Linked DNA regions of Oryzias latipes. The protein of the gene in region 1 binds, or shares a complex with, the protein of each later gene. Links are inferred from orthologs where the notes say so. Each region holds a gene or a part of one and is shown on either strand. Other genes may lie near its edges.

Region 1 (3,049 bases):
CGGTTCCTCACAGACCTGGTGAACAAGGTGCCGACCATCCCACCTGAGGACTTTGAGAACATGCTCAATTCTAACATCAATGTAAGTGCTTCCCCTGATACTGTAATTACAATTTGCATGAGGTTTTTTTTTACCCTTTTGTACTTCTTGACATTGTGAAGATTAAAAGATACTAGCATCTGTACGACTGTGGAACTGGAATTGTTTCTGTGAAATTCAGTTGTGTGTATTTTCTACATGGACGTGCTTGTGGTTTGCTGCAGGACCTGTTGATGGTGACGTACCTGTCCAACCTCACCCAGGCACAGATTGCCCTGCACGAGAAGCTGGTGCTGCTCTCCTGAAATGAACTATTTAAACTTTCTTATTGTTTGGCTGAAGCAAATAAAATGTTAAACAGTCGCATCATGATGTTTTCTTTGGGGTGGGGTGGATCTTACATATAAGAACATCTCAAATTTAAGTTTACCACTAATTAAGAAAACATGTTGAGTATTTGTGACAGTGGTATTGCGTGTTTATTCAGCTTACATTTACTCTTTGAGGTTTCAAAGTGACAATAGTGTTTAAACTCTTTATTTCAGATTATAAAGAGGATTTGGTCAAATGCACAGAACTCTTAAAGTGGAGGAATAATTATGAAAAAACTTTAAATATATTTACTTTGTATTTCCTCAGTAACTTCATTTAGTACTTTTTGTCCTATTCAAGTAACAGTAGACAGCACGTGAGACTCCGTTAAAGTGTTTCAAGTTCTTTTATCCAAAGCAAAATATTGATCTTTATCATTAAATATACATTCAAATCCGTAGCAGAGGTCAATTATTAAAGGCAAAGTCTGGCCTGAGTAAAGCATGAGGAATAGTGCAGACATCAGAGTGGAACCTGTCCAGGTCCATCATCTACAGTACTAGAAAAGCTGCTGCCGCGTGATCCGTTATTGCTGCGCGGGGACGTCCGTCCGTCCGTCCGTCCATCCATCCATCCATCCGTCATGGTTTCGTCTCTGCCTTGCTGCCTTTTCCGTCTTTGCTCTGCGGGCTGAGGAGCTTCTCCGCCGCAGCGAAGCCCCGAACCGCGTATCCGTACACCGAATCCCCGGTTGACTTTGCGATGGTCACCGCCTCCTCCGGGTAGTACAAGGAGGCGCTCACGGTCATCAGACCAGCGGGGTAGATTAACTTCTTAACCCTGGAGCCTCTTGCGAGGAACAATCCGAGGAGCCCCGTGAAGCCGATGATCCCCGCTTGCGCGTAGAAATCCTTGGGATGGTTCTGCAGGTAGACGTAGGAGTCATTTCCGGACTGCACGAGACTCTCCACTTTGGGTTTCAGTTTACCGACGGTGGCCTGACACCATCCCGTGTAGGGCTCAACTAACTTCCTGAGGGTGGCGACGTGCTCCTCAAGCTGCCCCGCCGCTGGCTCCACATAGTGAGGCTTTTGAGGAGCGGTGTACAGGGACAGGTCATCCAGCTTTAACCGGGCCTCGGGCTCTTTCTCCCCACCATCTGCGGCATCAGCAGCCCAAACGAGCGGCAGCAAGCGCGTGGATCCCGGCATGGCACTACCTGTCACCTTGAACATGATCCCTGAGGGCCATACATCAGCTACGGTGTCCGAGAAGGGACACAAATCATGACGCCGCCTCCCAGATATTTGCGTTCGTTTTGCTTTGACAGTAAACTTGTATTGTAAAATTGTATTTGTTCATTTAAATGAATATAAAAATAACGTGATTGAAGTTGTTTTTTTTTATGAACACGACTTTATATTCCATTAAAAAAATCTGATTGTTGGATAAAAAATATTCTAGACTCTTCCTGCCTTAAGTTAAAAATGTTCTAAAAAAAGAAATAATGTTACAAAAATGTTCTTTAGTCAGTTCATCTTTGCTAAAGAAATAAATTTTTTCTTTTCTTTTTTTGTTGGTTTCCATGGCAGCCTGAAACCCATTTGTTTCCATGGTGACGAGCGTCAACGTTCCAAACGTGCAGTTAGCATAGCAGCTGCGAACTTTAGTGTCTGTCAGATATTACGGTCGTTGTGGCCTTTTTTTGGTGACTACATTCTACACCTAAACAAGGCTAGTGTTAGTTTTAACATCCATCTTTTGAATAACACGTTTTCTTTCCAATGGATTATGTGGGTTTATCATCCGAGGAGACCCTCAGGGCTCTGTCTGCCCTGTTATCCACCAAGCAAGAAGACGAAGAGGAGGAGGAAGAGGATCAAGTGAGATTTAAAAACACTTAAGCAGAAAGAGAGAATGAGGAAGTATGTCAATACTTTTTTTAACCTCACCAGAGAGTGACTCCATCTGCACAGCTGGGCCCTGGACAAATTGGTCTCCCTCCACAGAATTCTAAAGAAGGTAAAAGGGCAACATTCAAGTTCTGGGTCTCATTCATGTTTTAAAAATATACATATTTGTGCATTACAAAACAACGACAAAAAACACAAAAAATTGGGAAAATCCCTTTTTTTAAATTTGCAGATAATGCAGAGAAACCCTTTATGTGGCTTATACTGAACCTAGTGTAATGCAATAAAGCAACAAACACTAAGGATGTCACAATTACAAACCAAAACCGATCCGTGTGTTACACGGCTGAACTGCATCATTGGTCAAGTGAACCGTTTCATCTCTACTGCGTACCAATATGGTTACGTTGAAAGTGTCAAACGTATTGTGCTAAATTGATGAAGAATTTATTGTTCATTGTTGTATTGCATGTATTTATTGTTATATTACATTACACAAGGCTAAGCTAAAACCATCTGAAAAGTTTTTCTTTATTGTCATTTAGCAATTTAAAAAAAGGGTTTTTCAGAATTTCTTTTGTTGTTGTTGTTGGTCTGCAATACACAAATCATGCAAGCAAGCAAAATCGTGACGCAAAAATTGAAATTTAAACTGAATTGAAAGTGTATCACTGCATCCTTAATAAACAGTAAATCCCTCTTAAACGTAGCATAACAGCTGGTATGCTGCAGGGATGCAACATTTCACTTTTCCCATGATTAGGTTTTATGGCGTAACATACTGT
Region 2 (4,265 bases), on another chromosome or scaffold:
TGGAGGTGGGTTGAACAAACATGGTAAATGGCGTATACTAATAAAGCGCTTTCTACCTTCTTTCTAAGGCCCAAAGCGCTTTACAGTCACAGTCCCATTCACCCATGCACACACATTCACACACACACATTCACACACTGTGCTGCTTATAGTGTACCTTCATCACACTGAATGCTCCAGCCCACCCACACCCCAGAGCTAGGGGCAGACCGCGGGCCCGCCACCACAGAGACGGAACCAGAGGGCAAGACCCAGCAACCCCCCGTCAAGAAGTAAGAGAAACAGAGAGCGCGCAGAGCCGGGGCCCCCCGCCAGGGCAGCGACCCGCTCCACCCCAAACGCGACCACGCGGGACTTACAACCGGCACCCAGATCAGAGGCACGCCACCGTCCGGGAGTCCTGAGCCCCCATCCGCCCCCACCCCCGAGGCAGGCCTGGAACACCCATGGCCAGCCCGCACTGCGCAGCCCCGCCGAAGACAAACCGGGGGAAGCGGCAGAAACCAGCGACCAGCAGAGGCCCCAGACAGGGCCAGGGCCCGGTGAGCCCGAGGACCAGGCTCCGGTTGCTGTGAGCAACGATGGAAAAATTGGGGGGGCCCTGGAGTCCCAAGAAAAGGGGTCCTTCCCGCTCCACGGGCGATACTGCCCTACCCAGCTCAGATGTGGACGTCCTCCCCGCGTGGAAAAAGAGCTGCAAGGTCAGGGGCGCAAGGGACCCCTAGCCCCACCCAATCCTGGGGGGGGGGGGACAGGGAACAGTCCAATCAAAATTTGTGGACCCCTATGTGTCTAAAGCCAAGAAAGCCTGATTGGGGGGGGGGGGGGGGGGGGGGGGGGGGCTTTTAGCTGTAATTTATGTATTTCCTCAATTGATAATCATGTTTTTTCCCCAGATTGATCATTTCTTTATCACCCCCCACTACCAACTTGTTCATGCAGAATGACCAAATCTGTATTTTTTCCCACAGCCTCCACTGTCTCTGGAGGGTTGTGACCACCAGAGCGTGGTCCTTACCGGGACGGAGGGTTTCTCAGAGGTGTGATGCCTTTGTGCTCCCATGATGTTTATACCCAAACACTGTTTCAACAACTGATAACTGTGGAACCTTCAGCCTTCTGGGAATTGTACTCAAGCAAGACCCAGACTTTTGTGTTGTGTCGACCAAAAACAGAAAAAAAAAAAACCTCCTGTGACACAGATTCTTGTGTTAAAACCCAGACAGGTGATCGTCTCCACCTGAGACACAAACTTATATGTATCTCAGCTATCAGGACGGGCACTTTGGATGTTTTCAGCAAAGACTTTTCTTGTGGGACACAAAATAATTCACCAATTGTGAAGTGAACTATACCTTTGTCTCCTTGAGGGCCTGAGGACAGTGATGATTGACTGATGTTGGCTACTCCTCGCATCCTCTGAAGAACATCTTCTGACAGCTGGTAAAGAAAAAAAAGAGCTCGCTTAGTCACAATATCCAGATTATAAGCATAAAGATCTCAACTCTGCAATAGCTATAAAAACTCAGAATACCATGAATGTTTGAGGAAACACAGCAGGCCTATTTAATTTGGGCGCCTGCTTGTGAATGGCCCAGGAAAAATGGCTAAAAAAAATAAATAGCTACATGAAAAACCACAGGAGGCAGATCAAGTCTATGAGTCACTGATTCTGTGACTCACAACTTTACATGTGTAACCAGCGTTTCTTTTTCTTTTTTCTTTGTTTAAACAAAGTTTTTTTCAGTAAACTGCAAAAAAAAGACTTATATAATAGCAAAACGTTTTAAAAAGGGGCCAACTACATTGGTATGGGTTTTTACCCCCATGCAGCCATTAAATGTAAGAATTACCTTAAAATTTATTTTTAAAAATGAAATAGAAAAAGTCAGTCAAAACACAAAGAAAGATCTAAACTGCAACCCCTCATTCGGCTGGATGTGTACAGCTAAAAGCTTTTTAAATAATTCTGAACTTCCCCAACAATAAAACACACAGACAGTTATGGTGTAGAAAAACTAATGTTGATTTTATTTGGCTGCATAAATGTCATTTATTACACTTTGCTGAGTGGCCGATCGCTCAATTCCTACTCCTAGTATTGGTCGTGAACGCATCACTGTCAAGCCAGCTATTAAACCAAACTTGATTTAAAATCTGTTCAATTAAAACTGTTAAATTAACACAGAGCCTCGCTTACAAATGTAATTTATTAACAAAACAAATAATAGTATAGCCCAGTCTGTGTAGTTTGTTTTTCATGTTTTATTCGTCCCTTATTTGTTGCTATTATTAGCTGAATTCGATTAAGATATTAGCCAAAACCCAAGCAACATGCTAAAGTCCAAACGCGTCATTTAAAACAATATTTACGCATCAATGTAGATAATATTTGCGCCGAATTCACTATAACACACCAAAGAGTTATGAGATGTGTTGAAAGTTTATGAAATGTTTTTGTTTTGTTGGAAAATAATGAAGGAACGCTAAAAAGCGCTTGTTTACGAACGAGGTTCGGCGTAACCGAAAAGGTCACTTTGGTTCATCCCTGCTGAGCCAGCCCCTTCCTCCCCGTCTGTCCTCACCGTTTCGCCACTTGTTTCGTGGGTTCTGGACGAAGCTCTGCCTTCGCTTGGAGTACATTTAGATGTGGAGGAGACATCTTTCGGCGGGGAGTCAGCGCTCCACACACCCTATTAGCCTTATCATCACACGCTAGCAGAAGTAGCATAATTACCTTTACTCCGCGAAGGATCCGGACTCTGTCCTCCTCATCCACGCCATAAGACACTTTTCTGGTCGTACTTTCCCCTAAGCCCATGCCGTTTGTTAGAATGAGCCCCCCCTCTTTAATGAAAATACTGATAGTACTATCAAAGAATTCCGTTAAGCCCCTGTCCAATGACAGAATGTGTGACAGATGGGATGCGGGTTGCCAGGTTTGCTTGGAAATGTCCCCAAATGACCCGATGTTTGCGTGTAAGTGCAGTAACCTTTTCATATGATTGATTTTTATTTATTTATTTTAAGTGAAGCAGCAATTTTTTTTAAACATTTCTTAAAAATTTAAAAGTTGCAATACTTGCAAAATACTTTAGTAAATTTAGGGGGTTATCATCAGATTTGGCAACGCTTACACCATATGCTGCATTTTATACAATTTAATTAAAAGTACCTTTAAAAGTAAATAAAAATAATAAATCTTTATGGTAACGATGAGTCAAACGTTTGCCAACAGACAGCAAACATTCTGTTCAAAGTTTATTTAACCCCCAAACACAAAACATGTCTATAATTCTTCTTTCCATGGTGGTTCACCGGGTTAACTTTGCACAATGACATTGACAGCTGGTGCAGGTGCACACGTTTTACTATAGTTTGGAAAAAAAAGAAAATAGGAGACAAAACTAAGACCTCTTTACCAAAAAAGGTGAATCAGCCAGTGTCTATGTACTTTCTATTTAATTGTTTTAACAGAAATGTAAAAAAAAGAAAAAACTGTAAACATGTTTTATTGTATTAGTTGTTTTTTGCTCATAAGTGTAAATATATTTAGAATTATTGTTTCTCAGTAATTCCTCCCCATCAATAAGTCAATACTTTTGTCATTACAAGATTTAAATTAACATTTAGGAATTTAAAACATATGATACACCATAAATGATAGTTTGTGTCTTTTATAAACAAAAAAAAGAACAAAGCTTTCGTGTTAAAGGAATGCCTTGGCTTGTGGATCTCCAAAATGTTCTGTAAAGTTGATAGTGAACAGTCATTCTACATTCCATTATGAAGCGTGATCCAGGAGTCTGGGTTGCTTGAATGAATGCTGAATGCTGGGAAAACGGGTTCTTTGAACACAGCTTTGAAGGTGTAGATGTGCTCTCTGCTGCCTTTGATGCTGTGGAACGTCAGGGTTCCACCCTCATAGTCCAGCGCCATCTCCAGTTTGGTTGGATGAGGCTTTTTCTCTGGAATCACAACATTACTGGAGGAGCTGCACACGGTGAGTTTGCCATTTTTCCACTGGAGTCTCCAAGACACGGTGTTGTGACCCAGACGGCTGTGGTCACCGCGGCGTGGGATGCTCTTGTAGCACACGCCCATGGCCCACATGCAGTTGGGCCCAACTTCCACCACCCAGACGTGCTGACCGCTGGAGAAGCCCTGGCTGCATAGAACCTGCGGCGCACTGGTGAAGCGCTCCGGGTGGTCCATGTAGGGCTGCTTGTTGGAGGTGAACCTGACTGTGCACAGGTCAGTGGACA
Region 3 (4,220 bases), on another chromosome or scaffold:
GAATCAGTTCGTTGCCCCTGACAGCCGCTCTTTAGTCCCCCTCCCTCAACAGCGACACTGACCCCGTCAGGAAAGCTGTGCAGCCGTTGGTTTGATGGGAAATGCATCCTTATCCATTGTATTCTCTCACTGTTGTGTTGTGAGGAGCACTTTATTGTGTAACGTTTACATATTCAGATTCAAGTAAAGGAGGAACTCGTTTCCTAGAATATACTTTTTTTGTTTTAAAAAACTGCAAAATGCTTTAAATGAAGAGGAGATAGTTCTGCTGGTGTGTACATTCTCTGTATGATCATAACAACATCTGTAGTAAACATGTGGACTTCCAGCTAACAGACTATTGTAACCGCCACAGGAATTCTCGTCTTGTACTCTTATATTTGCTTGCAGAAGTGATTTCATCAAACTTAATGTGATGAAACCGCAGTTCTTTAGCTCTTCGGTTCTGGATTTCTCCGTTAAAGTTGCATGAAACAGTGAAACCGTGCCTGAAGTTAGGAAACTTTATTTCTACATGTGGAAATAACGAGATTTAAAACAGACACTAAACATCAGAGCTGGGGAGCCCTGGAGGTTCGGATGCTCAACTGACGCTTTGGTTTCCTGTGTTTCGTGTCAATGTTATGGAACAAATAAAGTTTTTGTGCATATGATTGGTGTTTTTTTTATAGACATTGTCATGACCAGAACTTGAACATGAGACACTAAAGAAGGCATGAAAAGGTCAACTAGAATATTTACAACTTTTGGACATTTAGACTGAGAAAAAACCTTGCTTGGTGGGTAAAATGAGTTGGTTTACAGCAAAGAAGAGGTTCTTTAAATACTTCATTTCCTTACAATAAGCTCAGTCTTCATTACATGCCTCTTCATAAACAACTGCTTTTCTAGGGCTGATTTAGGAGTAGTAATGTGTTACCATAACCTTCCACTTGGGGAGGAACGAGGCTGAACCTCTCCAAAGTGAGCTGTTGAGTGCAAAAGTAAAACTGATACCGGGGGGGTTCACTTGAGGAGGTCTTTCACAAACTGAAACCCCTGAGTCGTCATTTCACTCGCTTTTGTTGGAGCTTCAGAAAGTCTGGAAATCGTCCACCGCACTCCTGCAATTAAAAAGAAACGGTTTTCAGGTCTCACAAGACAAATTTAAGGAAAACTGAAGGCGAAAGCTGATTGAAGACGTGCACACAAACCCAGGTGGCTGCAGATCCTTAAAAAGTCTCATGTTTTGTTGAACTACAATAAAGTCTTGTAAAGCATTAAATTGTCTTAAGGTCCCACTCGGATCATCTGTTGATCTCTTTTCAAAGCGTTCCCAGTGTTCTTATTGCCATTTTTAGTCTAAAAACCTGTCATTTTCCAGGACAGTTTCTGCAGGAGCTCATTTGAAATTCCCCTTTGAGTTGTGGGCGGGACTTTTGGTAAGCCTTCCCCCACTTCCCATCATCAGTCTCTTCAGCTAAATTCTTACGAACAGGTTTTAAATTTCTCATCGACTGATGTGACCTGTCACCCAAAAAAAAAAGAACATTTCTGGGATGCGCTGTGTCATAAGGTTATTAACTGGTGGTAAATCGTTTCACCTCTGCTAGCTTATTAGCTCGTGCTCAGCAGTGTGTGTCTTGGAAATAGGGATTAGTCGTAGTGGTTAAACTTATAAGTGGAAATCTTTATGAAGCAAACTCTGCGGTTTGCTGAAAGACATTTAAACTTTACATAGCAAGGATCATAGCAATGGAATCACGTGTAGAGCAAGAAACCACAGACTCCCAACTCTCTGTTTCTATTTTTGTGCATATAGGGTCTTAAATTTTAAAATCCTTAAATTTCACTTGAGCAAATCTGTAGACCCCCTGCAAACACAGAGGCACAAACTCAGCAGTGAAATGACAAACTGTTTCTCTTATAGAGGAAAACCCAAAAATGTCCGTCAGCTCTTACCAGAGTTCCACGCCTGGACCGGAGAAAATTCAACGTTAGGGATGGTTGGAAGCTGAGTCTGCTGACAGAGAAATAAAAAGAGGAGGTTGTGTATTAGTTAATGGGACCAGTGAAACTTAAGGGATGCATTAATGTGCAGATCTATAACGGTCCTCTTTAACCCCAGGAGAAGTCACCAAAGACCAAACAAACCCAAAGACCTCTCACTCAAACCTAGTTTGTTTGTACCTGAAGACCGAAGTACTTCATCCACTCCTCAATGGCGGGGGGGACAGCGGCTCTGGCCTTCTGTAGGGCCTCAGAACCTTGTTCGCTGCCCCCCAGCAGCCCGGAGTCATAGGCCACATACACAGCCCCTCCCGCTATGCCCACCTTGGTCGCGAGTCTGCAGGTAATCAGAGTCCATCATGAAACGCAGGTCATCAAAGATCGTTGAGACAGAGATGATAACACAAGTAAACATTTTAAAACGTTGGTTTGACAGAGAAACTAAAGGACTTTAGAAACTTCTCAAGACGCGCTGAGTACAAATGAGTAAATTATAAATGAGTAAATTAACATTCAGTTTTGTGGATACAGATACAGAACACATAGTTTATATTAGAGTTAGCTAAACAGGCAAAGAACATTTGTTAGCTTTGCTAGCTAGTTTGATTAGCTAGCTAGTCGGCTAATCCCGCATTTAGCATCACTTCTCCGAACATTTGTAAAGTAAAAATGAACTAACTTCACTACAGGCAAAAGCTTTGTCGCCATGATCCACGGGTAACCGAACTATCCCGAAGCCACGACTGTGACCTGAAAGAAGTCAAACCTAGCAGCTGCACTGAAGGACAAGCCGGATTCTTGTCCTGTCAACCACAGCTGTGTTAATAAAGTTGGATCTTGGAAACTTAGTTCCGCTGCAGAGCAACACATTCGTTCTGCCTCACTTTCTAATGCTTTATTTTATTTAACTTTTTAAATCACAGGTAAATACTTTTTAAATAAAAATGTTTAAAAATTATATCTAAAAATGAAAAATGATTTTTCAAAGGGGTGTGTCTAATGTGAAGTTCACGCCCAAATCGCAAGAAAAACAGTGAAATGGGGCGTTTAACAGATGTACTTTTTTCCATGGGACCTCCCTGAACTTGTCTGAGAGCAGTGTTGCCAAATGCAGCCGTTGTATAACCACAGATCAGCACAATTCCACAAAACCCAGCAGTCAGACCAGTTGCTGCTTTTTCCAAAATGGCTTTTACTAAAGTCTTGATAGTCAGTTTATGTGTAGTTTTTTTAGCTGTCAAGTGGACTTCACCCACTTTTGATCCAGGTGAGCAGAAATCTGTTTCATTTTTTAGTCAGTCTTATTATTTAAGGGTTTGAGGCTCAGGGTGGATGTTAGTGGACCTTCTGGGGCGTGCATGTGTTCCTAAAACCGCATTTTGCAGAAATGATCAGTCATTTTTCGCAGTTGGGTTTCTTTGTATGCTTATTTTAATTAATTTTTAATACTCATTGAATGTTTCCTGTTGCTATCATTAATTTGGAGTTATCTACCATTCACAGATTTGTGTGCCATGGCAACATAACGAGGATCATAAAGATAACATTACCTTTGCTTATTGGCGAATGGGGCCACAGGTTCATGTCTTTACTTGCATATTGAGCTGACTATTCCGGTTTTTTCCCCTTTGCTCTAAATAGTCAGCTCAAACATATATAAATAGGATGAAATTGTGAACATTTCTGCACTGAATTAATTTACCTATGCACAATAATGTTGCTGAGGGTTTACTATTCCCTCTGGGAAAAGTGGGAGTGGAAACCAGGTAAACGGTTAGAATCTGCTTCAGTGGCTGAGAGGCCTGACCTCAGCGAGCGCAGCTTTCATGCAGAAAAGCTGATCAGTCAGTTTTCATGCTATCCTCTGGTAATATCACCATCCTTAACAACTGTAACAAACTCCAGCAGCGCTCAATCAGAGCTCAGGGTCACAGGTTGAAACGTGTTCTGATACTATAGGAGGTTCTGTGAGCCGCTATCTCTTCATGGGGCAATTATAAACGCCGCATGACTGCGGTTGGATCTTTGTACACTTCTGTGTTATCACACATATAAGGACCAGTTGTTATCAGTCAGTTCAGGGTAACATAAATGTTTTTTTAGATCATCATCATCATTTGTTTATAAAGAACCTTCCACCACTAGCCAAGGAGACCCAAAGTGCTGTACACATGGAGAACAAAACAAAAAACAATTAAAAGCACAAAACCAAATTAAATCCCTGTAGGGAC

The links.
Region 2: MICOS complex subunit MIC26 (region 1) and MICOS complex subunit mic25a-like share a complex: the UniProt entries of both Homo sapiens proteins name them as parts of the mitochondrial contact site and cristae organizing system (MICOS) complex. The link is inferred for Oryzias latipes from reciprocal best matches to the Homo sapiens genes APOO and CHCHD6.
Region 3: MICOS complex subunit MIC26 (region 1) and c4h19orf70 share a complex: the UniProt entries of both Homo sapiens proteins name them as parts of the mitochondrial contact site and cristae organizing system (MICOS) complex. The link is inferred for Oryzias latipes from reciprocal best matches to the Homo sapiens genes APOO and MICOS13.

The regions. Positions count from the first base shown.
Region 1 is NC_019875.2:2,473,219-2,476,267, forward strand, and holds MICOS complex subunit MIC26, read right to left. Parts: upstream 1,611-3,049; 5' UTR 1,587-1,610; coding exon 993-1,586; 3' UTR 503-992; downstream 1-502. Other genes in the region: eif3f (eukaryotic translation initiation factor 3 subunit F), read left to right, coding at 1-81, 264-344; protein PIH1D3, read left to right, coding at 2,136-2,234, 2,307-2,373. UniProt on the Homo sapiens protein: Component of the MICOS complex, a large protein complex of the mitochondrial inner membrane that plays crucial roles in the maintenance of crista junctions, inner membrane architecture, and formation of contact sites to the outer membrane.
Region 2 is NC_019865.2:2,285,802-2,290,066, reverse strand, and holds the start of MICOS complex subunit mic25a-like, read right to left. Parts: upstream 2,935-4,265; 5' UTR 2,822-2,934; coding exon 2,738-2,821; intron 1,441-2,737; coding exon 1,356-1,440; intron 1-1,355. Other genes in the region: E3 ubiquitin/ISG15 ligase TRIM25, read right to left, coding at 3,775-4,265. UniProt on the Homo sapiens protein: Component of the MICOS complex, a large protein complex of the mitochondrial inner membrane that plays crucial roles in the maintenance of crista junctions, inner membrane architecture, and formation of contact sites to the outer membrane.
Region 3 is NC_019862.2:7,384,518-7,388,737, forward strand, and holds c4h19orf70 (MICOS complex subunit MIC13), read right to left. Parts: upstream 2,821-4,220; 5' UTR 2,698-2,820; coding exon 2,669-2,697; intron 2,327-2,668; coding exon 2,170-2,326; intron 2,003-2,169; coding exon 1,942-2,002; intron 1,104-1,941; coding exon 1,006-1,103; 3' UTR 490-1,005; downstream 1-489. UniProt on the Homo sapiens protein: Component of the MICOS complex, a large protein complex of the mitochondrial inner membrane that plays crucial roles in the maintenance of crista junctions, inner membrane architecture, and formation of contact sites to the outer membrane.